Linked DNA regions of Rattus norvegicus. The protein of the gene in region 3 purifies or fractionates together with the protein of the main gene of each other region. This does not show direct contact. Links are inferred from orthologs where the notes say so. Each region holds a gene or a part of one and is shown on either strand. Other genes may lie near its edges.

The links. The genes of interacting proteins can lie anywhere in the genome.
Region 1: the proteins of Srp9 (region 3) and Larp7 purify together in Homo sapiens (affinity purification with mass spectrometry; 3 studies listed by BioGRID and IntAct, with this or other methods). This does not show direct contact. The link is inferred for Rattus norvegicus from reciprocal best matches to the Homo sapiens genes SRP9 and LARP7.
Region 2: the proteins of Srp9 (region 3) and Srp54a purify together in Homo sapiens (co-immunoprecipitation; 4 studies listed by BioGRID and IntAct, counting the BioPlex papers as one, with this or other methods). This does not show direct contact. The link is inferred for Rattus norvegicus from reciprocal best matches to the Homo sapiens genes SRP9 and SRP54.

The regions. Positions count from the first base shown.
Region 1 is NC_086020.1:218,677,309-218,680,808, forward strand, and holds part of Larp7 (la-related protein 7), read right to left. Parts: intron 2,060-3,500; coding exon 1,935-2,059; intron 1,280-1,934; coding exon of another isoform or gene 1,277-1,279; coding exon 1,155-1,276; intron 1-1,154. UniProt on the Homo sapiens protein: RNA-binding protein that specifically binds distinct small nuclear RNA (snRNAs) and regulates their processing and function.
Region 2 is NC_086024.1:78,353,753-78,357,252, reverse strand, and holds part of Srp54a (signal recognition particle subunit SRP54), read right to left. Parts: intron 2,355-3,500; coding exon 2,184-2,354; intron 1-2,183. UniProt on the Homo sapiens protein: Component of the signal recognition particle (SRP) complex, a ribonucleoprotein complex that mediates the cotranslational targeting of secretory and membrane proteins to the endoplasmic reticulum (ER).
Region 3 is NC_086031.1:96,362,878-96,367,052, reverse strand, and holds the start of Srp9 (signal recognition particle 9 kDa protein), read right to left. Parts: upstream 2,801-4,175; 5' UTR 2,648-2,800; coding exon 2,576-2,647; intron 1-2,575. UniProt on the Homo sapiens protein: Component of the signal recognition particle (SRP) complex, a ribonucleoprotein complex that mediates the cotranslational targeting of secretory and membrane proteins to the endoplasmic reticulum (ER).

The DNA of each region.
Region 1 (3,500 bases), on a different chromosome or scaffold from region 3:
TTGTTAAATGTCACTCATTAAAACTAAAGAAATAAAGAAACTGTTTAGTATAGAATAGAATTTTCTAGGCACAATAACTCAAATTCTTTTAAAATGTTTTAGAAAAAAAATTGAGACTTTAGCTATTGTAGGATAAAAGAGTGTATCCTTTAACTGTGACGGACAAGAGAACTGCAGGCCTAGAAGACAGAAGCTCACCCTTAACACATGCTCTGTAAGACAGGAACTTCCATACTGAAAAATGTTTCCTTCATCAATCAAGGAAAAAAAAAAAGAGAGAGAGAGAGAGAGAGAATGAGACCTGAGAGCCTTCCAATGTTGTTACCCAGTTAATCATTACTACGTAAGACACAGCAAGAGACCAGTCTGCACTGAGTTGATGAAACTGTAATGGGTTTCCTATTCGTGGTGAGAGTTTTATAATCAGTTTTTCAGATAGTTTAGAGTACCACAGTTCAAAAGGCATTTACAATTTATCCATTATAAAGTCAGGCTAATATCCTAATTAAAAACCCATATAATGACAAATTAATCTGGTAATCAGTGACAGCAACAGAGCTCAGTTTTTGTTTCAGAACAACTAAGTAATTACAACAGGACTTTCAACTGTTGCATTACCAAATTCTCCTTTGTGTGCTTGGGACTGAGTCCAGGCCTCCATGCTTGCACAGCATTTGCTTACTGTCAGGTTATTAAGCTACATTCTGTATTGTTACCATGTTTTCAGATGTAAGCTAATAGAACCTGGGGTTGGCAAATACAGCTTGGTCTACAGAGTGAGTGCAAGGACAGCCAGGAATACAGAGAAAGCCTGTCTTGAAAAATCCTGCCAACCAACAAACAAAACATGCCATCAAATATCTTTATCGATGAAAAGCTCTTCAAGGCTTAACACTGAATACATATCTCAACAACTCCAAGGTCAAATCACTATCATTTTCCACGGAAGTACAGTCACCAACCATTAGGGAAACAAGAAAGGCAGGCGTTCAGGCTTCTATCCTGAGGAATTTTGGTATTCAGAGTAAAGCTAAGAGTTGTCAGAGTTACCCTGGACTCTCTTAGCAGTTTACAGAGAGGTACAAATTCTGACTAGAGTTGTTTTGTTTCCATACTATTTTGAAAACATGTCACATGGGGTTCATAAGTATTACCTTGACTTGTTTCCTGCCTGGGAGAGGGTCTTCGCTCAGGATCTTCACGATCACTCCAGTCACGAACTGCGGGCCCTGTGCACTGACCTTCTCCTGGGTGGAGCACTGCTGACCACTGCCTGCTGCTGTGAGAGGAAAGAGGCACAGGTAACTTCCTCACCCCTCACATTTCACATGAGAAGCACCATCCTCCAACAGCAGAGACTTCTCAGGCTAACTTAAGGAACTGAGAACTCGTGCAACTGGAAATTAGTATTAAGGAATCACATTGCTCATTGGAATCAATATGGAATAAAACGCATTATACATCTAAACCAAAGACTAAAAGTTGAATAGATATATGCCAATATAAACATAAGAATAATCAAAGCACACTACTCAAATGCGAGAATTTGTATTTGTATAATTTATAAGAACTTAACATCTTTACCAATACTACAGCAAGTGAGAATATGCTTTAATATGTTCCCACTTGGTGCACATCGCCCAGTAGACCTGCAGTCGCTCTTCCTCCCTCTAGGCACTCTGGAGTGAGCTCACAGGGGATGTAGGGAAAGAGTAGGCAGGCTGTTAAAACTTACTCGGTAATATAAACCTTCACATTTTTGTCTTTTCTTAAAAAATTTCTTTGGTAATGGTTCAGCTTAAACTGGGGAAGCACTCTATCACTGCTATGAAGCCACCCTTGAAAACATTTATAGACTAAAGCCTGCTCTTTGGTGTAAATAGCCAAATGACACTGCATGAGCTTCACCCTTTCAGTCCCCACTGCAGACTTACGAGGCGCTTTGGACTCTGTCTCCATTTCCGACTCCAATTTTATTTGAGATATTGTTTTTTTTAGAGAAGCCATGCTAGCTTTTTGCAGTGCCAAATACTCTTTTTTCAAATCCATCCATTCAGTCCTGTAAAACAAAAATTGAACTACTATAGTGACAAGACGACCCAGTCAGAAACCTGAGGTTGACTAGACATAATGCTCACAGTAACTCCAAGTCTTTCCCACTTTCCTTTTTTAAGGCACACATTTACATCATTTGTTAAGCCATAAATCTATCTTGCAAACACACAAAGGAAGTTTCTCTTCCTTAATACTCAAGGAAAATGCTTGAGGAGTTTCCTAGTTGTTTCTAATATTCAATTGTAAAATCACTTTTGAGTCACTTCCCTGAAGTAACAATTACTAAATCAGGCAACTTGCGGAAAAGGTAAGAGACTGAGATTCAAAGATTTCTCAAATTGCTTCCAATTTGAGAGATAACATTCCTTAGGATTTACTTAATTCAAAAGGAATTTCTGAGAAGAAAAAAACAGCCCGTGACAGCAGTTTATTTATTTACATACATTTAACATGTAGATGTGTCTTCAGGCAGCCAGGGCTCCCCCAGAGAAGCACAAAGCCTCCCGGGCTCTGTGGGGGTGCTCATTGTTACCCTAATCTGTGCCATCAAACAGGCAGATAGGGGATTTTTTTTAAAGAGGAGGATATCTTGTGGTAATGGTTTTAACAGTTAACATTGACATCTGTTTACTTCAAAAAAGGGGAAGAAAAAAAACCCAGACCTACCCTGGAGCCCCAGGATCTACTTTCCCTGGGAGCTGATACATTAAAATAACAAAGGCCCTGAACCGATTCTCCACATAGAAAGCCCAAGGACTGCAGGAGCTGGGAGTCGTATAAATACCAGGTCTAAAGTCGCCGTCTTCCACCCTCCGAGGAGAGCGAGGAAGCAGGTCACCAAGGTAAGGTGAGTCTGCAGCCTGGTCCCTTCACGGCTCCGAGCCAGCGCTCCTCTAAGAAGCTGCCGGGCGGGCGGGCTCCCTTCCACTTTAACATGGGAATGCTTTCTGTCACATTGAAGAGTAAGTGCTGCCATGTTTTAGTAGAAGTGAACTCAAGGTTCCCTGGAGGAGTGAACACCTTGGCGTCTGGTGGGAGTCCCCTCTGCTTTAACATGGGATTACCTGCCTCCATGTTTCAGTGGGGGTGTCTTCAAACTCTTCACCATTCTCTTTAAAATGCTGCAGTCAAGAGCCTGGCAACTTCGTAAGTATAAAGACTGGGCTTCCCACCACTTAAACGTGGTTGTCCTTGCTTTGGAACGAAGAAAGTAAGTGCTTCCATGTTTGGGTGATGGTAAGTTTTCCTTTATCCTCACGCCTTTAAGAACCTCACTGGAGTCTGCGTAAGGGGCCTCCTTCACTTTAACATGGAGGCCCTCGCTGTGCCTTTAAAATAAGTGCTTCCAGGTTTGAGTGTGGTGGCTCCTGCTTACTCCCTGGGCGGCATGAGGACCAAGGCCGTCACTGCTGCTAATCTGCAACTCTGTTGAGCACACACTGGAA
Region 2 (3,500 bases), on a different chromosome or scaffold from region 3:
TAAGTCACCACACTGGGCTAGAAGTATTTTCTTATAGTTGTGATGTTTCCCTGATATTTTTAGTTATAAATGTGATAAACCACTCTGAGCAAATCTGGACTGAATGGGTTCTCCAACAGCAACTGCTTAACAGAAATCTAAGGTAGAAAGACCTTCCTTCCCTTCTCACCCCTGAGAGCCCAAGTTGTACACTATATAGTACAACAAGCAGCAAAGCTAGGCAGCCCCTGCTAGGGACCATGGTGAGGAAGGAAAGCTGTGAGGACCACCACATGGCAGGTACCAAATGATACAGTAAGACAGCTTGGTGTCTGCATGTGTATGCTCAGAGAACTCCAAAAGACCAAATGGAACCACATGGGCATGTGGTGCTCTTGGGTTGCCCTGGGTGTATCCCTGACCATTCAGGAAAGAAATATCAATTATTTCAAATGATTCAGGGGACACAAGACCTTTACTAATCAAGTAAAATGGTTATCTACATAGTGTCTGTTTGCCAAAAGATACTTCATTAAAGTTAAATGCATAATTATTATCAAAAAGACTTTATTCAGCAGCTAATGAGGGCAGATGTAGAGCCTTGTAGCCAAATATTACTATGCAGCCCTAACTGGTTCTGAACTTGAAAATATCCTCCTGCCTCCTAAATCCTGGGATTATAGGCACTGTGCCCACTTGAAAATGGTAACTTTCCCCAGCTCCAAAAAAAAAAAAAAAAAAGAAAGAAAGAAAATGGTAACTTTGGAGGGGAAATGGAGGACTAGCGGTCAAGGCGTCTCAGAGCCTCAAGCACGCTGGCTGAGTACTCTACCTTTCAGTTATACCTCCAGCCCTAAACATAGAAACTCATTAGAAAATAGAAATAAAGTCAAATGAAAAACGGGATGACATTTAAAGGTGAAAAACAAGTCTGTTAAGATGTTATTACAGAGCAATAGGGAGACCTGAACAGGGAAGAAGTGATTCACAATGGAAAGCCAATTTATACATACAAAGGAAAAAAACTTTAAAATATTAGAACTGAAAATGTACTAAAAAAGAAAAAGTGACCATTAAACTAGAAACTGCACGGGCTGGAGAGATGGCTCAGTGGTTAAGAACATTGACTGCTCTTCCAGAGGTCCTGAGTTCAAATCCCAGCAATCACATGGTGGCTCATAACCATCTGTAATGAGATCTGATGCCCTCTTCTGGTGTGTCTGAAGACAGCTACAGTGTACTTTCATATAATACATAAATAAATAAATCTTTAAAAAAAAAAAACTAGAAACTGCACTAGAAAATGTACTTTGGTGGCATACACTTTTAATCTCAGCGCTGGGGAGGCAGAGGCAGGTAGATCTTGGTGAGTTCCAGGACAGCTAGGGTTACATAGGCTACAGAGGACAGAAAAGCCCTGTCTCAAAACACAAACAAAACAAACAAAAAATATACTAGTGTCTACTATACTTCCATCAAAGAGAACAGAACTAATTCTACGGAAGGGCCTAGAAACTGACAAGTCAACTTAAGGCTCTAACAAGAGGCACAAAGACACACTGCTGGAAGCGTAGGAGTGAGTGGTTAAACACAGCACATGTGTATAAGATATACCATTCTTATTTTGGCTGGTGCTGTTCTGGCTGGTTCTAGGTATGCAGCCCTGGCTAGACTAGGACTCACTAGGTGACCAGTCTAGCAACATTCCTGCTGCTTCTCTTGTCTCAAGAATTCTGGGAGTACAAACATGAGATACCCAACCTAGTTAATCAATATATTCTAAGGAATGTTTGGCAATATGGGAAAAAGATCAGTGGTTATATCAATTGTTGTCTCCAATAGGATTTGTGGAATTCTCTGAGGAAGAGAAAATGATTTCAGTCTTTTTATACTCTAATGTTCTTTAAATTATGGTATGTATGTTGATAAAAATAGTTTTCAATATTAATGTCTACCATCTTGATTCTGAAGAGATAAACCATGTATCACATGATTAATCATGGTAGTACTTGACTTTAACATTGAGTTAACGTTAGTACTGGGACAGAACCCAGGGACCCAGGCAGGCCCTACCACAGAGCTAAGCCCCAACCCCTTTGACACAAAATTCACCAGTCACTTTTCCAGTATGAGACTACTGGGCTTTAATATTTTATTTCTTAACTTTGTTCTTTTAGGTGATACTTTGTTCTTTCTCCTCTCACCTTTAAAAAGCCCTTTGATACCTCCCATCTTTTTGACCATCTGGGCAAACTTGGTATACTGTGTGAGAAGTTCTTGCACATCTCTTGTTGACACACCTGATCCCCGGGCAACTCTTTGGATTCTGCCTGGTTGCTTACTAAAAACCTTGGCACCATCTGTACTGTCCAGTTCTGCAGACAAAGACAAATAATTTCATCACATAAAATTATCATTCATTATCACAGTAGCCAAGCACTCTGCCTCTGTCCTAAAAATGGAAGCATATTTATTAGAAAATAGGAATAAAGACAAAACTTGAGACAAAACTTGGGACTGAAGAAGGAAAAAGTGACTAACAAAGGAAATTCAAACGGGCTTTTACAGATGGCTTTTAATTTTTTTATGTTTTAGATACAGGATCTCATATATCCCTCATATATCTCATATATCATAGATCCTCAAAATCTCTAGGAAGTTGAGGATGACCCTGAACTTCTGGTCTTCCTGCTTCTGTTTCTTGAGGGCTGGGATTGCAGTGTTTGATACTAGACCCTGTCTACTGGATTCCAGTGGAGACTCCTGTATGCTAGGCTAGCACTATACCAACTGAGCTATATCACCAACTCTCAGCTCTATGTGTGTGTGCGTGTGTGTGTGCCATATATGTGCTATAGGTGCAGGGGTGTGTGTGCCATATATGTGCTATGGCTGCTTGTGTGTGACATATATGTGTTATGGGTACGTGTGTGTGTGTGTGTATGAGACATATATGTGCTATAGGTGCAGGGGTGTGTGTGTGTGTGTGTGTGTGTGTGTGTGTGTGTGACGTATATGTGTGAACAGATGTGTACTCTCCAAATGTATCTGTTGGCATAGGATCTCTCAGTGAACGGGAAGCTTGACGTTTTGGGTAGGCTGATTGGTCAGCAAGCTCCAAGGATCCGCCTGTCTCCAAAACTCAGCAGAAGGGTTAGCGGAATACAGACATGCATAGATTCTGAGGATTTGAAATTCAGTCCTCTTGCTTCATAGCAAATATTCTCACTCCATGAGTCCTCTCCCCAGCTTGTTTCATTTTACAGAGATATTTTATTTCTCTGTACATTATAACATGTATAAAGAACAACATACATATAAATGATCAAATCACAAAACAGATTTAATAAATCCCAGGATTCATGAGACAAGAGGATCACTGTAAGTTTGAAGCCAGTTTGGACTACACAGCAACTTCTAGACAAGACAGGACTACATAGTACGACCTGGCTTTAAAGGGAAAATATCTGAGGACTTCTGAAACTTTACACCTGTCACCCTGCATTTTACATGTGCGTCCT
Region 3 (4,175 bases):
TAGAGTAAAGGGTGAAAAGATACTAAACATGTTGGGTACCAAAGGCAGAATTCCCTCACATAAATTCTAGAGACCAGACAAACTGTCTTCGTTAGCTCTCCAAGGATCAAATGGACTGGGGTTCAGACCCAGGGTTTCTACTTAAGTTTGGAGGCCACTAGGGTTTTCTCCCTGGGCAGCTTCTCCTCTGCTGTCTCCTTTCCATCACCACAACTCCCTGCAGCTACATCATCAAAGAGTCACTCCATGTGTGTTGCTGTCTTCTTACTAAATTCAGACAATGGATACTATGGTCAGTATCAGGCCCTTCTGGACAAATCTTATACACGGTACAGCACACTGCTCAACTGAGGAAATGATGTCAAAGCAAAGGACAGAGAGAAGAGCCATATGAAAGTACAAGAAGCCACCACTGTCACAAACTACACAACCTCATAGATACCTAGTTTACCTTGCCATTTATTATCACTTTGCACATGAAACCAATGAACTATCGTGTCAATGTTAAGAGCAATAGGATAATTAGTTTGAAGTGTCACCTTAGAAGGGAGCCTGCAGTTATCAGGTTGGCCTATGGGTATGAGCCGGCTGTCGTAACTGTCAATTGAGGTAGGAAGACAACCAACTTAGTGCTGGGCCCTGAACTGTATGAGTGGAGACAGCTAAGACTAAGTCAAGCAGAAGCCAGCAGGCTGCACGGCTGCACCGTCTCTCTGCTTCTGAGTATGGTTGTAGCAGTTCCGGGTTTCTGCCTTGACTTCCCTCAGACTATAACCTGGAATGATAACACAAATACATACTTTCTGCCCCATGCTTCTTTTGCCAGGGTGTTTCCTAGTAACAGAAAGGAAACTAGAACAAATGGCACCACATAAAGCCAGGAAGGGTGTTACACGCCTGTTATCCCAGCATTTGGGCTGCTGGAGAGGACCTTCAGTTCAAGGGCAGTTTGGGCTTAACATGGCCACCTCAAAAGACTTAGAAGGGAGGGGGGAACTAGTATCCAGAGTTCAAGATCATTCTCAACTACACAGGAAATTAATGAGGCCAATCTGGGACACGTGAGATGAGAGTATCTTAAAAAAATAACAAGAATGGCTCAAAATGTTCTACTGTCTATCCTGGTCTTCCTATAGTTCTAATGCCCCCCACCAATACATTTCTCCCCAACCCCACCCTAGACAGGGCCTCACTGTGTGGCCTAAACTGACCTCAAATTCTCTACTCTCCTCTCTTTAGCATCCTGAATGCTGGGATTACAGGTGTGCACCACCAGTCCCCTCCTGGGTCTAAGACCATTCATAATAGCAACTCGTCTTGCTGCAGGTGGACAAAGGTTTGGTTCTCAGCACCCACGTGGTGGCTCACAACCATTCCTAACTCCAGTTCTAGGGGATTCAATGCCCTCTTTTCCCATCAGACACCATAAACGCACAGGTAAAACACTGGTACACATAAGACTTAATGGATTAACCTTTTTTGCTGTTTTTTAAAAGGTTTATTTATTATATATAAGTACACTGTAGCTGTCTTCAGACACACCAGAAAAGGACATCAGATCTCATTACAGATGGTTGTGAGCCACCATGTGGTTGCTGGGAATTGAACTCAGGACCTCTGGAAGAGCAATCGGTGCTCTTAACCACTGAGCCATCTCTCCAGTCCCATGAATTAACCTTTTTAAAAGATGCTTCCTGTGGGCTGGAGAGATGGCTCCCTGTAAAAAGTCTGAGGTAAGTACTGCCACTACAAGTTGCCAGCTCCAATGTATTTTTACATTTTTACTTATTACTGTGTGTGTGTATGTATACGCGTGCATGTGTGATGTGTGATCAGAGGGCAACTCTGAGGAGTCGGTTCCCTCTTCCCGTTCTTAAGTGAGTTCTGCATGCTGAGCATCTATTCAGTACACACACACACACACACACACACACGCACACACGCAAACACACACACACACACACACACACACACACACGAATGCATCTACCTTACCTTCAACAACCCTTTAAGGAACGGTGAAATGTACCTTTGTGTCTCTCCCGGAACCTATTCTGGACTGGTAAATGGGAATGGGTAGTTCTGCTTTGGGGAATGAACCGTTTGCAAACATTTATGTCTAACGTATAAGTGCAAGCATTCACAAGGTTTCAACTGACCCACGGGGAAAAAAAAAACTAAAAATCCCCACTATCCAAAAAAAAGTGGAGTAGGTTCTTCCCAACTGGGACCGGAATTATCACCACTTTGTAAGTAGGTACTCTTGCGTCTTGGTGGGAAGGGAAAGGGGCACTAAAATACGTGACGGACAGGAAAGAGCCGGCGACACGTAAACCAACCAAATCCATAGCGGAAGTCAGGCGTTCCACCGGGTGCAGCCTGCTCTGGAGCCCGCCGCTGCGGAAAAGGCTCTGCCTGTGGTTGCTGGCGGAGCTTCCATGGGTCTCCGTGTCAGATGGAAGGAGACGAGAGAGGGCAGTGACACCGGTAGACCGATTCAGCTTCCTGGATGTGCACAGGTCGCGCCAAGGTTAGAGAAGACCCCAGTCCCGGGGCCGTCCCTGCAGCGACTCACCTTCATGGGGTCCGCCAAGTAGAGCTTCTCAGCCGCGCGGCTGAACTCCTCCCAGGTCTGGAACTGAGGCATCGCGGCTTCGGGCAGCGCGAAACGAGGCCGCGAAGCAAGAAACGCGCTGTCGCACTGACAGCCCACCGCTCTCCCGCAACCGCCCACAGCGCTGGACTCTGGCGGCCCAAAGATGGAGGCGCACTAGCGCTTGCGCCATTGGTCAGCCCCGGCCGCGCCGGTCCAATGGGCAGGAGGCATGCTGTTAGGGGGTGGGGCCTCCGCTCAGAGCGGTCGGGAGATGGGCGGGCGGCTGCCACAGCGCCGCCTGCAGGACTGGAGGGGTGGTGTCGGTGCTGCCTTTCCAGGCTATGATTGATTATAAAGTCAGGCTCTGGTTTTCCAAAGACTCAGCAGCTCTGTGACCCGGTACCCTAGTTGCAGTCGTGGTAATGACAAGGAACAGCTGTCACACTCAAAGCCTAATCACGGAGTTGGGAAGACATAACAGGAGCCCCACCAAAAGCTTTCTGTGATAGACTTTTGTATCGGGTCAGGGGAACAAAAAAGAGGTCACAGAGGTGAGACAAACTGAACTGGGAGTAGAGAAGGGCGAGACCTCTAGGCACATTTTAGATCTGCAGTGTACTTAAAATGGACAGTGTTTAAGGGAATGGAGTAAGAGGAGAAGCAAGGAGAGAAGGAAGCCACACTGTGGTGTCTGCTAGTATAAGAAATTTGAGTCTTCTCTTCAGGCAGTGTGTGGCACAGGATAGCTTTTAAAATAAATTTTACTGGGCTATTTTTTTATGTGTGCAGTAAATATCGGCTTTAAGAATAAATGATCAAGAGTTCTGAAAAAAATACATATACACACATCACACACCCACAGAGCATATACCTACTTGCCTAATGTCATAAGCAACGTATGGGGACGTTTTTCACATCTAGAAATCTCTTCGTGCTTCCTGATAATTCGTTCTCTCTGCCCTCACTCCTGGTCCCACAAATATGCTTTCTCTTACTATAAATTACATTTCCCTGTCCATTGGGCAGCTATAAACGGTTTTTTGTTTTGTTTTGTTTTGTCTTGTTTGGGGGTTTACAGTGCTGGGAAGTATGCATTCTAGGCAAGGTCTCTGCCATGGAGCTGAACCACGCTCTCTCCTCCCCATCTTACCTTCCCTCTTCCTGAGCTCTTCCTTTTCTTTTTTAATTTTATCTTTCCTCCTTTCCCCCCCCCCCCCCCCCCCGGAGCTGGGGACCGAACCCAGGGCCTTGCGCTCGCTAGGCAAGCGCTCTACCACTGAGCTAAATCCCCAACCCCTCTTTCCTCCTTTCTTTTTCTTTCATTTTTCTCTTCTTTCTTTCCTTTCATTCATTTTATTTCTCTTTTCTTCCTTCCTTTCTTTTATTCTTTCTTTTTCTTTAGTGTCATGAGTTTGAGGGAAGCCCCTGCTATTTAGACCAAGGCCAAACTTAGCTACTTAGAAAGACATTGTTTTTAAATAAATAAGCAAAAATTAATAAGAAGAATGATGGTGGTCCTAGAAAGAGAACATCATGATAGCTGGGCTAAATAAATAGTAATTATTTAGGTTTTTAGAAA